Linked DNA regions of Diceros bicornis minor. The protein of the gene in region 1 purifies or fractionates together with the protein of each later gene. This does not show direct contact. Links are inferred from orthologs where the notes say so. Each region holds a gene or a part of one and is shown on either strand. Other genes may lie near its edges.

Region 1 (7,707 bases):
TATGCTTTTGAGATGCGTCCATGTTGTCTCATGTCTCTGTAATTTATTCCACCTTTCAGTAGTTTGTTCCTTTTTATAACGGAATAGTTTACCATTGTATGGATGTACCACAATTTTTTATCTATTTGGCAGCTGATGGACATTTGAGGTATTTCTAGTTTTTTGTTATTATGAATAAAGGTGCCTTACACATTTGCATACAGGTCTTTGTATGAACATGTGTTTTTATTTCTCTTGGGTAAATACCTATGAGTGGGATGATTGTATGATAAATTTATGTTTCATTCTATAAGAAACTGCCAAACTGTTTTCCAAAGGGACTGTACAATTTTGCATTCCCCCTAGCAATGTATGATGAGTGCTAATTTTAATGCAGTCTCCTTTGCAACCCAAGTGAATTTCTCCATTGACCCTCCCCTATCATACCCCAGGAAGCGTGCCATATTGGTGATAATGATATTTTATTTTTAAAATATGAAACTTGGGGCTGGCCTGGTGGTGTAGTGGTTAAGTTTGTGCACTCTGCTTTGGTGGCCCCGGGGTTCGAGGGTTTGGATCCTGGGCGTGGACCTACGCACTGCTTATCATGGCATGCTGTGGCAGGCGTCCCACATATAAAGTGGAGGAAGATGGGCATGGATGTTAACCCAGGGCCAATCTTCCTCAGCAAAAGAGGAGGATTGGCAACAGATGTTAGCTCAAGGCTAATCTTCCTCGGCAAAAAAAAAAAAAAAACATTTACTGATGTATAGTATACATACAGAAGAGGACACACATCACATGTATATGACTTTATAAATTTTCACAAAGTAAACACCTATATAACTACCACCTAGATCATGAAATAGACTGCTACCAGCATCCTAGAAGCCCACCTCATGTGCCCACTCCTACTCACTCCCTTTCTTTCTCAAAACTAACTACATAACTCTTCTGGCTTTTAATAACACAGATTAATTTTGCTGATTTTGAACCAAATAAAAATGGAATGATACCGAATGTATTCATTTTGTGTCTGGCTTTTGCTACACATTCTGTTTGGACAAGATCACCCACATTGTTCACATAGCAGTAGACCATTTGTTTTTGTGTTCTATAATACTACAATTTATCCATCTTACTATTGATGGACATTTGGGTTGTTTCCAGTTGGGAACTAGTAAAAATAAATGCTGCTCTGGCCTTCTTCATAATAGCCCCAAACTGGAAAGATTCCAAATGTCCAACGATAAAAGGGAATGGATAATCAAATTGTAGTATATTCATATGATGAAATACTACTCAGCAATAAAAAGACCAAATCACTGATATATGTAACATCATGGATAAATCTCAAAAACATTATTTCAATTGAAACAAGCCATACACTAAAGAATACATAAAGTAGGGGCCGGCCTGGTGGCACAGCAGTTAAGCGTGCACGCTCCGCTTGGGCGGCCCCGGGTTCGCAGGTTCGGATCCCCAGCGCACACAGACGCACCGCTTGTCAAGCCAGGCTGTGGCGGCGTCCCATATAAAGTAGAGGAAGATGGGCACGGATGGTAGCTCGGGGCCAATCCCTCAGCAAAAAATGAGGAGGATTGGCATCGGATGTTAGCTCAGGGCTGATCTTCCTCACAAAACAAAACAAAAAAATGGTAGAAAGGAGCACAGCTCAAGGAAACTTTCTGGGGTTATGATGAAAATGTTCTATATTCTTGGTTTGGGTGGTGGTTACGTGCATGTATACAAGTGTCAAAATTCATTGACTTGAGCACTTACTATCTGTGCATTCTATTGTATGTCAATTATAACTTGATAAAAATGAATACAGAAAAATGCTGCTTAGTCCTAAAAAATGCTATTATGTACACTCCTATACTTGGTTTTTGGAACACATGTGTATGCATATTTGTTGAGTAGATAGTTAGGAGTAGAATTGCTAGGTCATAGAATATGTATGAATCACAGCTCTGCAACTTAATAGGCGTATGACATTGGACAAGTACCCAGAACCTCTAGAGAACACCATCTTCCTTATCTGTTACCCATGAGCTAATCTCACCTTAATGGGCATGAACCATGAAAACTATTTTTGTCAATTAACAAAAGGACATAATGCTGAGAAACCTTATTCTCTAAAATCACAGATTTTCAGAAAATTGGCTATTTGAAATATCAGTAAGAATGGAATATTCCACTCTTGCCTGGAGGATCTGAGCTACTTTGACACAGAGAAGCAGCCTCAATTTCCAACCCAGGTGCAGAGCTTCAGACAAGGGGTTTCCAGATACAATATTCCACATTTCTCTTCACATTGTAGTTTCCAAGGAAACAGGATCCTGAGTCCTCTTGTTAGCTCAGGCCTGATGATAATCCCTTTACACATAGCCTGGTGTGCTTTGAGGTTATCAAAACCACTGCTTCTTTTAAATTTCACCTACACTCCCATCATTTCCTCAAATTCTGGAATAACTCTATGTCTTCTTATGCTTAGTGAGATGCCCATGATTCCTCCGGTGTGCAGTCTCCCTTGCAGCATTAAGTTAATAAGTCTAACTTTGTTAGACCATAGGTGGTCTTTATCACGTGGGCTATATCTTGGGGATTACTATTAACATTTGTAAAATGTGTTCACATTGCCTGTATAGGCAGTTAAGAAATAGTAGTAATTTTATGTTATTCATGTATCAATTCAATAAATGTTCATTTGATATCTAGTATTTGCAAGGCACAGATTATTGCTATGAGAGACGCACAGATGGAAAACCATTTTTTATTTCAGATGGAAAAAGAAAACAATAACAATAATCACTATATCTTCAGTTCCTGGGAGAAAAATACCTTTACTGAACTTTGCTTTAAATAGTCAAATGTAAATGAAAACATTCTCAAGACTATTTTAAATTTATTTATTTATTTTTTCCCCCAAAGCCCCAGTAGATAGTTGTATGTCACAGCTGCACAACCTTCTTAGTTGCTGTATATGGGACATGGCCTCAGCATGGCCGGAGAAGCGGTGCCTCGGTGCATGCCCGGGATCTGAACCCAGGCCGCCAGCAGCAGAGCGCGCGCACTCAACCACTAGGCCACGGGCCAGCCCTCTCAAGACTATTTTATGGGTAAAAAAAGTACTACAATTTACATGATTTGCCATAAGATTTGCCATAAAACTATGGATTCTAAGAAACGGTAGGGTTTTCATAACCAGAATGAGAGCCCCCAAATGTCATCTGTCCCTTTCTATAAAGAAGTACTCTTGGGGCCAGCCTGATGGCATAGCAGTTAAGTTCACATGCTCTGCTTTGGTGGCCCAGGGTTCGCAGGCCCAGATCCGGGCACGGACCGATGCACTGCTTGTCAAGCCATGCTCTGGTGGTGTCCCATATAAAGTAGAGGACGATGGGCACGGATGTTAGCCCAGGGCCAATCTTCCTCAGCAAAAAGAGGAGGATTGGCAACAGATGTTAGCTCAGGGCTAATCTTCCTCACCAAAAAAAAAAAAAAGAAGTACTCTTGTAAATGTTCCAACAAAAAATAGAGATAGGCTTGCTTACAAAAACTCTAAGCCTGAATGTAGGCTCATTCACCCATTTGGCTTCCTCTCTTTGCCATTCCCCAGAGATTGCAAAGCAAGCTGGGCTGGGGTGGAGTGGAGAACACAGGAAACCAACATGGCCAGTTCCCCTTCACTTCTCCCTGTCTTGATTTCCTCCCAAACCAAAATCCTACCCACGTCTTTCCATTTACCATCAGCTCACAAAATGCAGTCTTCTATAAGAACATGAGGTTATACAGTCCAAATTACTTAAGGGAATGATTTTTAAAATTTGAGAGTCTAGTTCTCCAAAAATCCTGGTTTGGGATATAGATGAAGAGGCTATTTGGGAGAGGTTTTGATGGAGAATGAATTTGGGAATATGAGAATGTGTTTTAGGGAAGTAATGCGATGACCATGGATTTAGCTTAGTGTGTGGGTTTTGTAGTCAGATCTCAGAAAAGCAAATTAACCTCTGTGTTAAAGGGAAAATAACCGTTACTTTGTCGAGGTAGTTCAACATTTTAAAAATCGATTGTCCATTGTTTATTCTGAAGGTAAAAATATAGTTAGAACATCGTCCCTTGCTGTGAAAGAGCTTGTAAACAAGTGAATTGCAGCGAGGATTCACACACAGTACGTGCTCAAATTTTATTATTATTATTATTATCATTTTATTGTTTAGAAGAGGGGTGCAGGGAAAAATGAAAGTGGTTTGTAAACCAGAAAAGTCTCCGCAAATACTATCAAAGCCCTAGAGGATAGAAATAGAGTGAGGAATTTCAGGAGTTTGGTTACGGATCTGAGTTTCAAGGTTGTCGAATTCTCCCATATTTGGGCGTGAATTCTCAGAAAAGAACAGAATAGCATGTTAGGGCTGAGATCATCTGGTCCAATTTTATGCTAATCGAAAATTCTTGCCTCCTGTCACCGCGCCCAGGCGAGAAACACCACCGCCACCGCAGCTCATCCAATCGGAGCCCCAACTATCTGACATCATCGCCCCGCCCCTCAAGCCCAAGCTCCGGGGCGTCCAGTCTCTAAGCTACTGTGCCCCGCACCACTTCCAGCGGCGCCCGCGCAACTGAGGGGCGGGGCGGGGCGGGGCGGACGCGTGCGCGCCGCGTGGGGGCGGGACTAGTGCGCACGCAGCCTCAGCCTCTTCCCAGACCTTTTCCTTCCTGGTTTCCCCGTCAGTCTGCGGGTCCCGTCTGGCAGCTGCTTCCGGTAGGAGCCCGGTGCAGGACCAGTCGGTCTCAGCTCCTCGTCATGTCCTACGGTCCCTTAGACATGTACCGGAACCCGGGGCCCTTGGGGCCCCAACTCCGGGACTTCAACAGCATCATCCAGACGTGCAGCGGCAACATCCAGCGGATCAGCCAAGCCAGTGAGCCGGGGGACTGGGCTGAGGGGCGGGCGCCGTCCGGGGGTCAGGCCTGGGTGTGGCTGCCGGGACGCGGAGCTCGGCCGGGGCTACGGCCAAGGCCGCACCTGACGCCATCTCGGGCTCTCCATTCTGGAGGCGGCGCCTGTCATCCCCGCATCTGTCAGGCCCGGGCTCCCCGAGGGTCCCGAGCCCCAGCGGAAGCTCGAGCTATTTCCCAGGTTCTGCCCTCGTGATGTTAGGGCCAAAACTGCAGACCTGACAGCCCCAGGGTGGGAAGGGGTGTGTGTGTCACCTCGAGAGCAGTGAGTGACTTGACTTGGCGCAGTGGTCAGCCGAGTTTTTCCTGTCATCCGCCTTCCCCCCGCCCATCTCTCCTTCCTCTTTGGCTAGCTTGGATCGGGAGTTGTTTACTGATTTAGACTTTAGGTTTACATTCTGCTGAGCTTCTGGCTTCTTGGAGATCAGCAGCTTTCAATTAAAGGAAGTGGAGAGTGCTTGTGTTATGGTGACTTAATACACAGTTCTTCACGTAGTGAAATTGGAAATCAGATAACGACTTCTGTTTTAAATAAAGAGAATTCACCGAAAACATTTCAATTTACATTGTCTTTTGTAGCAAAAGATTTGCGTATATTTTTGGATTTCAAGCCAATGAGGCTTTGTTTTCCATCTCTATTGAGCTACTCTTCTGAGCAAATCTGATACATAGAGAAGCTCAGGATCTTGGCCACAATCACATAGCAAGTAAGACATGGTAGAGTTGGTGGTAGATTTCAGAATGTCCTTGCTTGTCTTAAAACTGGATCCCCACCATTGGGGTCTGAGTGAGACTGCAGCTGAATGAGTCAGATAGAGGCTGTTTCTCGTGCCTGAAAAATCAGCTCAGAGCCTTATAAACAGGAGGTCAGCAGCAACAACTTTACTTGGAAAGAATGATGATCATCATCCTTGTTGTTTATTATTGTGCTTTTGTGAGTGTGGCTGGACTCTGTTAATAGATAGAACTAGTTGGTCCTGAATTACAGTTATGTTTTATATTTTAAAGAACAATCTATCACTTTGCTTTTAAATTTAAATACATAGTGCAGAATTTGAGAGGTGAGAAGTTTCTGATGGGAAGGGTTTGAGACTGAGTGATTTGGAAGTGGAAAGAAGAATATGTAGCATGTCAAGTCCAGAAATTAAAAAAGAAATTAATGTGACCACTGGTTAGAAAGTATAGTACTTTGTGTTCCAATTTCCTTTTGTGAGGGAGCTGTAATACAAGTTAGATCAGAAAATTCTGGTTCAAGGCTAAAAGTTTCTTGTTGAGGCTAAATCTAATTTTAATGTCTATTTGTGAAATCATTCTACATATATTTGAGTATCAGGCTATGTAGTAAGTATAGGAACTGGCATGGATTCTTTCATATATTCATATTTCAACCGAAATATAAAGTTGAAAGGGATCAGTGCTATAGATGAAGTTTAAATAACATTATGTAGGTATTCAGAGGAGAGAGAGACTATTTTGAGTTGGGAGGGATCGGGGAAGGCATTATGGCATTTGAGCTAGGTCTGAAAAGATGGTGGAAAGGATTTGAACTTGTGACGGTAATGAATGGGAGAGCATTCCAGGAGGGAATAAAATGAACAAGGCATGCTAGTGGAAAGGCATGTGGTTTATATAGAAAAGTAGAGTGATTTAATTTGGCTGGAGTGGTAGACTCTAGAAAGTAGGGGAAAATGGGGTTGGAAAGGTAAGTTCGGGCCCAAACATGAAGGGCTTTATGTGCTAAACTAAGGGGATTTGGATTTAATTCTTTTAAGAATGTGTAAATTGAATTGGAAGGGAGAGACTGGAATTAGAGACAGCAGTTAGGAACTGTGAAAATTAAAAGGAAGGAGAGGATAGGAGGGATCTCTTTGATGATAGAATTGATAAGATGTAGTTGTCGACTGGGCTCAAGGGATCATTGGAGTCAACCATTAATAACATTAATAGGGGCCGGCCTGGTGGCCCAAGCGGTTGGGTGCGCACGCTCTGCTGCGGCCCGGGGTTCGCCAGCTGGGATCCCGGGCACGCACCCACGCACCGCTTGTTAAGCCATGCTGTGGCGGCGTCCCATATAAAGCAGAGGAAGATGGGCACGGATGTTAGCCCAGGGCCAGTCTTCCTCAGCAAAAAGAGGACGATTGGCATTGAATGTTAGCTCAGGGCTGGTCCTCCTCACAAAAAAAATAAATAAATAAAATAACATTAATAGCTAACATTTCAGTACATACTGTGTGCCAGGCAGTATGAAAAGTGTTTTACATGCATTATCTTACTTAATTTTATAACACCTCTGTGAAGTAATTACCAATATTATTTCCATTTGATAGGTTTGGAAACAGGCTGAGAAAGGCTAAATAATTACCTAGCTAACAAATGGCAATACCTGAATTTGAAACCAGGTCTGTCTCTTATGACCAGCAATTAGCCTTTTTTGTAATTTTTAATTAATATTACAGTTTTGTAGCAGTTAACACTTCAAGTTACCAGTGACTTTTTTTTTTTTTTAACTTTCCATAGGAAACTATGGAGAATACCTGAGGCTGTGGAACTTTCTCTTCTTATGGTGTGTCCATCTTCCTGCTAGATTGTTAGCTCCTTTGAAGCATGAGACATGACTTATTCATCTTTATATTTCTAGTACTTGTCTCAGTCCCAAGCATATGATAGATTCATTCATTCACTCACTGTTCAACAAATACTCTTTGAGTACCTGCTGTGCACTGGGGATGGAGTGATGAACAAGACAGACAAAATCCTTGCCCTGAT
Region 2 (6,876 bases), on another chromosome or scaffold:
TTGCATTTCCACCAGCAATGAGTCAAGAGTTCCTGTTGCTCCACATCCTCGACAGCATTTGGTGGTGTTGCTGTTTTGGATTTTAGCTATTCAATGGGTGTGCAGTGGTATCTCATTGTTTTAATTTGCAATTCCCTAATGACATATGATGTTAAATATCTTTTTATATGCTTATTTGCCATCTATATGTCTTCCTTGATGAGGTGTCTGTTCAGGTCTTTTGCCCATTTTAAAAGTTGGGTTGTTTGTTTTCTTATTGTTGAGTTTTAAGAGTTCTTTGCAGGGGTTGGCCTGGTGGCGCAAGTGGTTAAGTGTGTGCGCTCTGCTGTGGCAGCCCGGGGTTCGCCGGTTCGGATCCCGGGTGCACACCGACGCACCGCTTGTCAAGCCATGGTGTGGTGGCATCCCATATAAAGTGGAGGAAGATGGGCATGGATGTTAGCCCAGGGCCAGTCTTCCTTAGCAAAAGAGGAGGATTGGCAGATGTTAGCTCAGGGCCGATCTTCCTCACAAAAAGAAAAAAAAAAGTTCTTTGTGTATTTTGGGTACCAGTACTTTACCAGGCATGTGTTTTGCAAAGATTTTCTTCTAGTCTGAGGCTTATCTTTTCATTCTCTTAATAGTGTCTTTTTTTTTTTTTTTTTTTTGTGAGGAGATCAGCCCTGAGCTAACATCCGCCAATCCTCCTCTTTTTTTTTTGCTGAGGAAGACGGCCCTGGGCTAACATCTGTGCCTATCTTCCTCCACTTTATATGGGACGCCGCCACAGCATGGCTTACCAAGCAGTGCGTCGGTGCGCGCCCGGGATCCGAACCAGCGAACCCCGGGCCGCCGCAGCGGAGCGCGCGCACTTAACCGCTTGCGCCACCGGGCCGGCCCCTCTTAATAGTGTCTTTTGCACAGCAGAAGTTTTAAATTTTAATGAAGTCCAACTTGTCAATTTTTTCTTTTGTGGATCATATTTTTGATGTATCTAAAAAGTCATTGCCAAACCTAAAGATCACTTAGATTTTCTCCTATGTTATCTTCTAGGATTTTTCTCATTTTGCATTTACATTTAGGTCTATGATTCGTTTTCAGTTAACTTTTGTGAAAGGTGTAAGGTCTGTGTCTAGATTCATTTTTTTTGCATGTGGATGTCCAGTTGTTTCAGCACCATTTGTTGAAGAGACTGTCCTTTCTCCATTGTATTGCCTTTTTCCTTTGCCTCAAAAATCAGTTGACTATATTGTGTGGCTCTATTTCTGGGCTTTGTCTGTCGGTTGTCATACTGTGTGTTGCGTGGGTCTGTTTCTGGTCTTTGTCAGCTGTCATACTGTGGTGTCTGCGTGTTGTCATGATGCTGAAAGCTATGCCACTGGTATGTCTAATACCAGCAGGGTCACCCAGGGTGACAGGTTTCAGCAGAGCTTCCAGACTAAGACAGACTGGGAGGAAGGACTTGGCCACCTACTTCTGAAAAAACTGGCCATGAAAACCCTGTGAATAGTGGTGGGACATTGTTTGATATAGAGCCTGGAAGATGAGAGGATGGCACAAAAAGACCGGGTAGGGTTCCGCTCTGCTGTACACAGGGTCACTAGGAGTCGGAAATGCCTCAACAGCACTAGCAACAAAAAATTCTAGGCTCTCTATTTTGTTTCACCTTTATGCATATTTTTCTTTTTCTTTTTTTCCACCTTTACTGAATGTATATTTTTCATTCTCACCATAAAGTTATTCCTATCCAGTAGGTAGTAAAACCCTTATTTTGAAGATGAAGAAACTGTGCCTAAGAGAGGACAATTTCCCTGCGCCAGCAGTGGGCAGAAAGTCGAGTTAGAGTTTAAAACCACATCTGTCTGACTCTCTGATGCTCTACACTTTTTGCACTCCCATGCTAGGCTGGGACTTGGTCTGTCAACCGTAACCTTAGATGGTGCCCTCTAGGGCCAAAATTCTAGCATCTCCTTTCCTTAATAGTCTTTGGAATCTTGGCTTAATGCTCTTTGATTCTGAGGTTGTCTGTCACTCATGGTCCCTCTGGACCTGCAATGGGAATCTTAACTGCCTGAAGTTTAGCTGTACTTAAAAAATTCAGCCAGGTTTTTTTTTCAGTTTTTTAAAAACTTTTTGCTGAGAACTTGAGCATAATGATTTTTTCCCTGGTTCACACTGAATCCTTTTTGCTGGGAAGCTGCTTGCTTATGGGTCTGGTCACTGAGGGTCTGCTATTGTCTTTCTGAAGAGGAAGCCTGCTGGGTGGGATTGCTAAACTGAGCACAGTGCTACAAATCTCCTTGGTTAAGTTCCACCCGTATACCCATCAGGGCCTGGAACATTTGCTCTCAGAATTTACAAATATTAACTCTGTGTTCCTTCTCTGCATTCCCCAAGCCGAGCATCTCTACAATCTACTAAATTCTATTTTACTGCCAAGACTCTTTAAAAAAAAATCCTATAATCATATTTCAAACACTAAAGGATAGTCTTCTGATAAGAATATAAGGTTAATAGAGGTGAAAAAGCTTGCAGAAGACCACACAGGGAATGAAGTGGGAGAATTCAGATTCAAATTCAGATCTGGTGCAGAGACAAAGTGGGTGGTCCTTGAATCACACCAGGCTTCCCTCTGTGAGAAGGGGGACATCCTTTCAAGGCAGTGTCAGGGGGTAAAGGAGACTGTGTGGGATTCAGAAAAAGCCCCAACACAGGGGACCTCCTTAATGCAACTCGAGAGCATCATTTCATCACTGTACAATTGAAACTGAAATTTATTGTTTTAAAACAATGTACAGGTAGTCACTTATGATGCCAAACACTGTTCAAAATGCTTCACAAATATTAGCACATTTCTATGCGTTCATTAAAACATTTTCTGAAGCCAGTACCATGCAGTTATGTGCTCTATAAATAGCTAGTGTAATTCCAAAAGAGAGGATCACATCCAGTGGCTGACGACGAGCCCCTTACTGACCAAGAACATCAGGTGGGGGTAGGAGGTGTGGAAAGGATTCAAAGACCATGGACACTGTACTGTCGTTTTGTCTGTTTTCTACAAAGTTAGGAGGAGACTGGCAGAATTAATCTATGTCCCGCTCGCCTCTCACATGTCACACATCACTGGATCTCCATAGACTGTGGTTTTTTTTTTTTTTTTTTGGAGCAAAGAGAGACAACAAAGAGGGAGCTTGTGAGGTGAGCCCTGTGGGATTCGGTACTGAAGTCTCGGCCATCTCGGGGAGAGTAACTCCGGAAATAAGCCGCTTTGACGAGCCCGTTGGCCAGGTATGCTTGTCCCACGGCCAAGGGGCACAGGTAGATTCAGGCTTCAGGGCCCTTCCTGACAAGGGGCAAGGATAAATTATTTATTAAAAGCAAGGGAATAGCAATAAAATACTCCAATGATAAAGAAATGAAGATTTATAATAATTTTTAAAAACCCTTGAAGTGCTTCCCAAATCTTTTATTTTTGGAAAGGAAAACTGGCCGCGAGCTCGGTGTCAGCTCGCTGAGACCCGCTGGTCGGGGCTTGGCACGGCCGAGCCCGCGGCACTAGCCCCGGCCCGCCAGGCCTGCAGGGGACCAGAGGACGCGGTGCGGCCGCCGGCTCGGATTGGCGGAGAAATGGCAACACGCGGGCGGGGCGACCGCGAAGACGCCGGGAGGCGCCGCCCGCCTGCGGGGGGATCCCAGGTTGGCGCCCGGGCGCGCGAAGACGCGCCGCCCCGCCCCCGCGCCCGCCGGGCAGCCGCGCCGCGCTTCCATTGGCGGTCGGCGGTGACGCAGCGCGGGCTGGGGCCCGGGGGCGGGCTCGCGGGCCAGGCCCGGGCCGCGCGGCTGATGAAACCCGGCGCCGGGGCCCGCCCGCCCTCACGCTCCATTCAGTCGGCGCGGGCAGGTGTGAGCGGCCGGTCAACTGCCTGGCGGGGCACGCGGCCAGCCGGCATCCGCTAACCGCAGCTCCCACTCTCACTGCGGCTCCCCGCGCCGGGCCTGCGTCCGAGCGTCCGTCAGTCCAGCCGCGCGTGCGTCCGTCCATCCACAGTCGTGCCGGCATCCTGCCGCCCGCCGGCTCGGTGAGTGCCCGGCCCCCGCCGGCGCCAGGGCAGCTCCCCGCGTCTGGGTCACCTTGGAAGGGACCCCGGCGCTGCGTGGGGCCGTGGGAGGGCGGCGCGGGAGCGGCGAGGGTCCTGCGCCCGGGGCGCTGGCATCCTCCAGGGTGGGCGAGGGCAGGGCGGGCCCGGGGGTGTGCGCGCGGGGCTGGTGCCCATGTGGCTGTCTCCTTCACCGGAGTCCATTTTGGTTCCCTGAAGGCGCGGCGTGGTGCATGATGCAACACCGAGTGAGTAAGCGTGGGCGACCTGGCTCCTCGGTGATGCCCACCCCGCGCGCCCTGCCAGGGACCCCGGCGCCGGGACGGACGGGGTGGTCGGCGTGGACAGCGGCGGGGAGCGGGTACGGGGGCCGGCCCAGGAGGCATCCGGAGACCTTCCCTTACATGGCGCGGTGCTGAGCACCCCGCCCCGCCACGAAGTCCGCGATGTGTCATCCGCCGCGGGTGGGGAGCCCGCCCGGCGGCCGGGAGGGTGGTCCCGCGGCAGGTGGCCGGCCTGGGGACAACGCTAGCACCCCGCACCCTGCCCACGGCGCCCACTCTCTTCCCTAGACCCCGGGACGCGCCCCGCCCCGCCCACACCTCTTGTCGGGATCGCCAGGGTTTTTTCGGAGAAGTCCCCTCTGGGTGGGCTTCCTTGTGACCTGAATTGGCCTGTAAAAGCTGGATTCTTCAAGCCTTCCAGATGGTTTGGAGCGGGAGGAAGTTCTTCCGGCTTAGTAAAGACAACCTGTTCTCAGTGTGTCCCTTTCTGCGTAGTAGAAAACTTCCCAGGCCAGGCAGGTCTGGCAGTCCCTCTAAAACCTGTGTGTACACAGAGCGGCACTCGCACTGTAGTACTACCACAGCGTGCTATTTTAGTTCCTTCCCCTTTTCAGTGGGTGTGGGAACCAGTTAGGAGTTGTGTTTGACTTGTATGATTAGGATAGGCAGACATGTGCCTTCTGGAAGAGAACTATACTTCTTAATACCCACAGGCAGGCTCGGGTGTGTGGAAGTACCTGGAGTTGGGTATTATTCCAGATTTAGTTACAAGGGAGAGGGTTGGGATTTCAGTACCAGGTGTAGTTCCCTAAAAATGTGCTCTTTAAAATTTGACCATTAGAACTGTGTATGTTGGCCTCTGTCTGAATTTCCTGATTGTATTTCATTTGACCTATAATTTACTTAGGATTTCTCTTAACATTTGTTGCCCTTTATGTTCGGTTCAGATAGAAGGAAACGGTGATACATATATCCCCCTGATATTTTTAGTTGATCTCGGTGGAAATTATTATTTTTCTGTGAACACACCCTTCTGTCATTAAAACAAAAGGTCTTATTTAAGTCACACAATCAGAATAGAAATTTAGGGGGCAGAGTCAACAATGGATTAAAATAGTTTTTAAAGGTTTAGCATATTAAGATCATGTTTAATCATTATATATAAAATTTAAAAGGTGTCAAAGGAGTTTTGACTAAACCAACAGGATAAGACTAAATAGAGATCAGAAATGTACTCAGTTGTTGGATCTGGATTTGAGCCACGTGGGTGCTTGTATGTATATAATTATTTGCTTCAGAGAGAAAAAGGCTTGAAAGACAAGATTGCTGACCTCCCGAGTTTGAATACTAGGACGCGTGTTAATTATATTTGGTAGAAGTTTCCATTCTTCGATGGAATTAAATACATGTTTGTTGACAGTTTCTGTGTACTGAGTTTAGTTTCTACCAAGTAGTTTATTTCTACTAAGGCCAGTAAAAAGACCTAATTATGGGGGTTGGCGTGGTGGCGCAAGCGGTTAAGTGCGCGTCTTCTGCTTTGGCGGCCGTGCCTTCGCAGGTTCGGGCCCAGGGGCTCACTGACGCACCACTTGTCAAGCCGTGCTGTGGTGGGCCTCCCATATAAAGTGGAGGAAGATGGGCATGGATGTTAGCTCAGGGCCAACCTTCCTCAGCAAAGAAAGAGGAGGATTGGCATCAGATGTTAGCTCAGGGCTGATCTTCCTCACAAAAAAAAATTAAAAATTAAAACAATGCCCAGCATTGTTTAATTGAATTAATCCCTTTTCATTATTAACTATGTATTTGGCAGTATTGGTTTATTAATCCTAAGAAGGAATTCCAAACAGGAGTAAGTGCAGCCTTGTTATGGAGGGAAGCATTTTCCTCTGGGCCAGAGGCATCTTCTGAGATGTTCATCATTCCACCTGGCTCTTGGTCCTCACTCCAAGCAGGACCTGTGGATGGGACCCTAGTGTTTTTCTGTATGATTGACCTTTTCAGGCCTGGGGGCTCTCTATACCTCTGTCTGTTCCAGTTGAGGGCAGGTCTCATAGGATTTTGCTTTTACTCGCATAAGATTTTGCTTTTACTTTGAGTGAGGTGGGGAACCATGGAAAGCTGTCTGGTAGTTTTCAAGGATTACTTGAAACACTGTATAGAGAAAAGATGGGTGGGTGGGGAGAGGGGCAGGCATAGAAGCAGGGAGACCAACCAGTTCAGAGACTTGTAAGTAATTCTGGAATAAAACCCACCTCCAGGTTATTTCTACACAAGAGAGAGTGACCATATGTAATTTTGGTGAGAGATGATGGCAGCTTGGGCTGGGGTGGAAATGGTAGAAATGTGAGGTGGTCGAATTCTGCTCCGTCTGTAGGTTTATATACTTGCTCTATCTGTAGATTTTAGAGGTGGACCCAATAGGATTGGCCACTGGGTTCCATGTGAGGTGTGAAAGAGGTCGAATGTGATTTTAAGTAGAATGGAGTTGCCATATTAGTGAGATGGGGAAGGCTGAG

Evidence for each region. The genes of interacting proteins can lie anywhere in the genome.
Region 2: the proteins of STX12 (region 1) and SLC7A1 purify together in Homo sapiens (co-immunoprecipitation; 3 studies listed by BioGRID and IntAct, counting the BioPlex papers as one, with this or other methods). This does not show direct contact. The link is inferred for Diceros bicornis minor from reciprocal best matches to the Homo sapiens genes STX12 and SLC7A1.

Annotation. Positions count from the first base shown.
Region 1 is NC_080752.1:43,287,324-43,295,030, forward strand, and holds the start of STX12 (syntaxin-12), read left to right. Parts: upstream 1-4,697; 5' UTR 4,698-4,786; coding exon 4,787-4,904; intron 4,905-7,707. UniProt on the Homo sapiens protein: SNARE promoting fusion of transport vesicles with target membranes. Together with SNARE STX6, promotes movement of vesicles from endosomes to the cell membrane, and may therefore function in the endocytic recycling pathway.
Region 2 is NC_080748.1:12,666,095-12,672,970, reverse strand, and holds the start of SLC7A1 (high affinity cationic amino acid transporter 1), read left to right. Parts: upstream 1-3,863; 5' UTR 3,864-4,058; intron 4,059-6,876. UniProt on the Homo sapiens protein: High-affinity, low capacity permease involved in the transport of the cationic amino acids (arginine, lysine and ornithine) in non-hepatic tissues.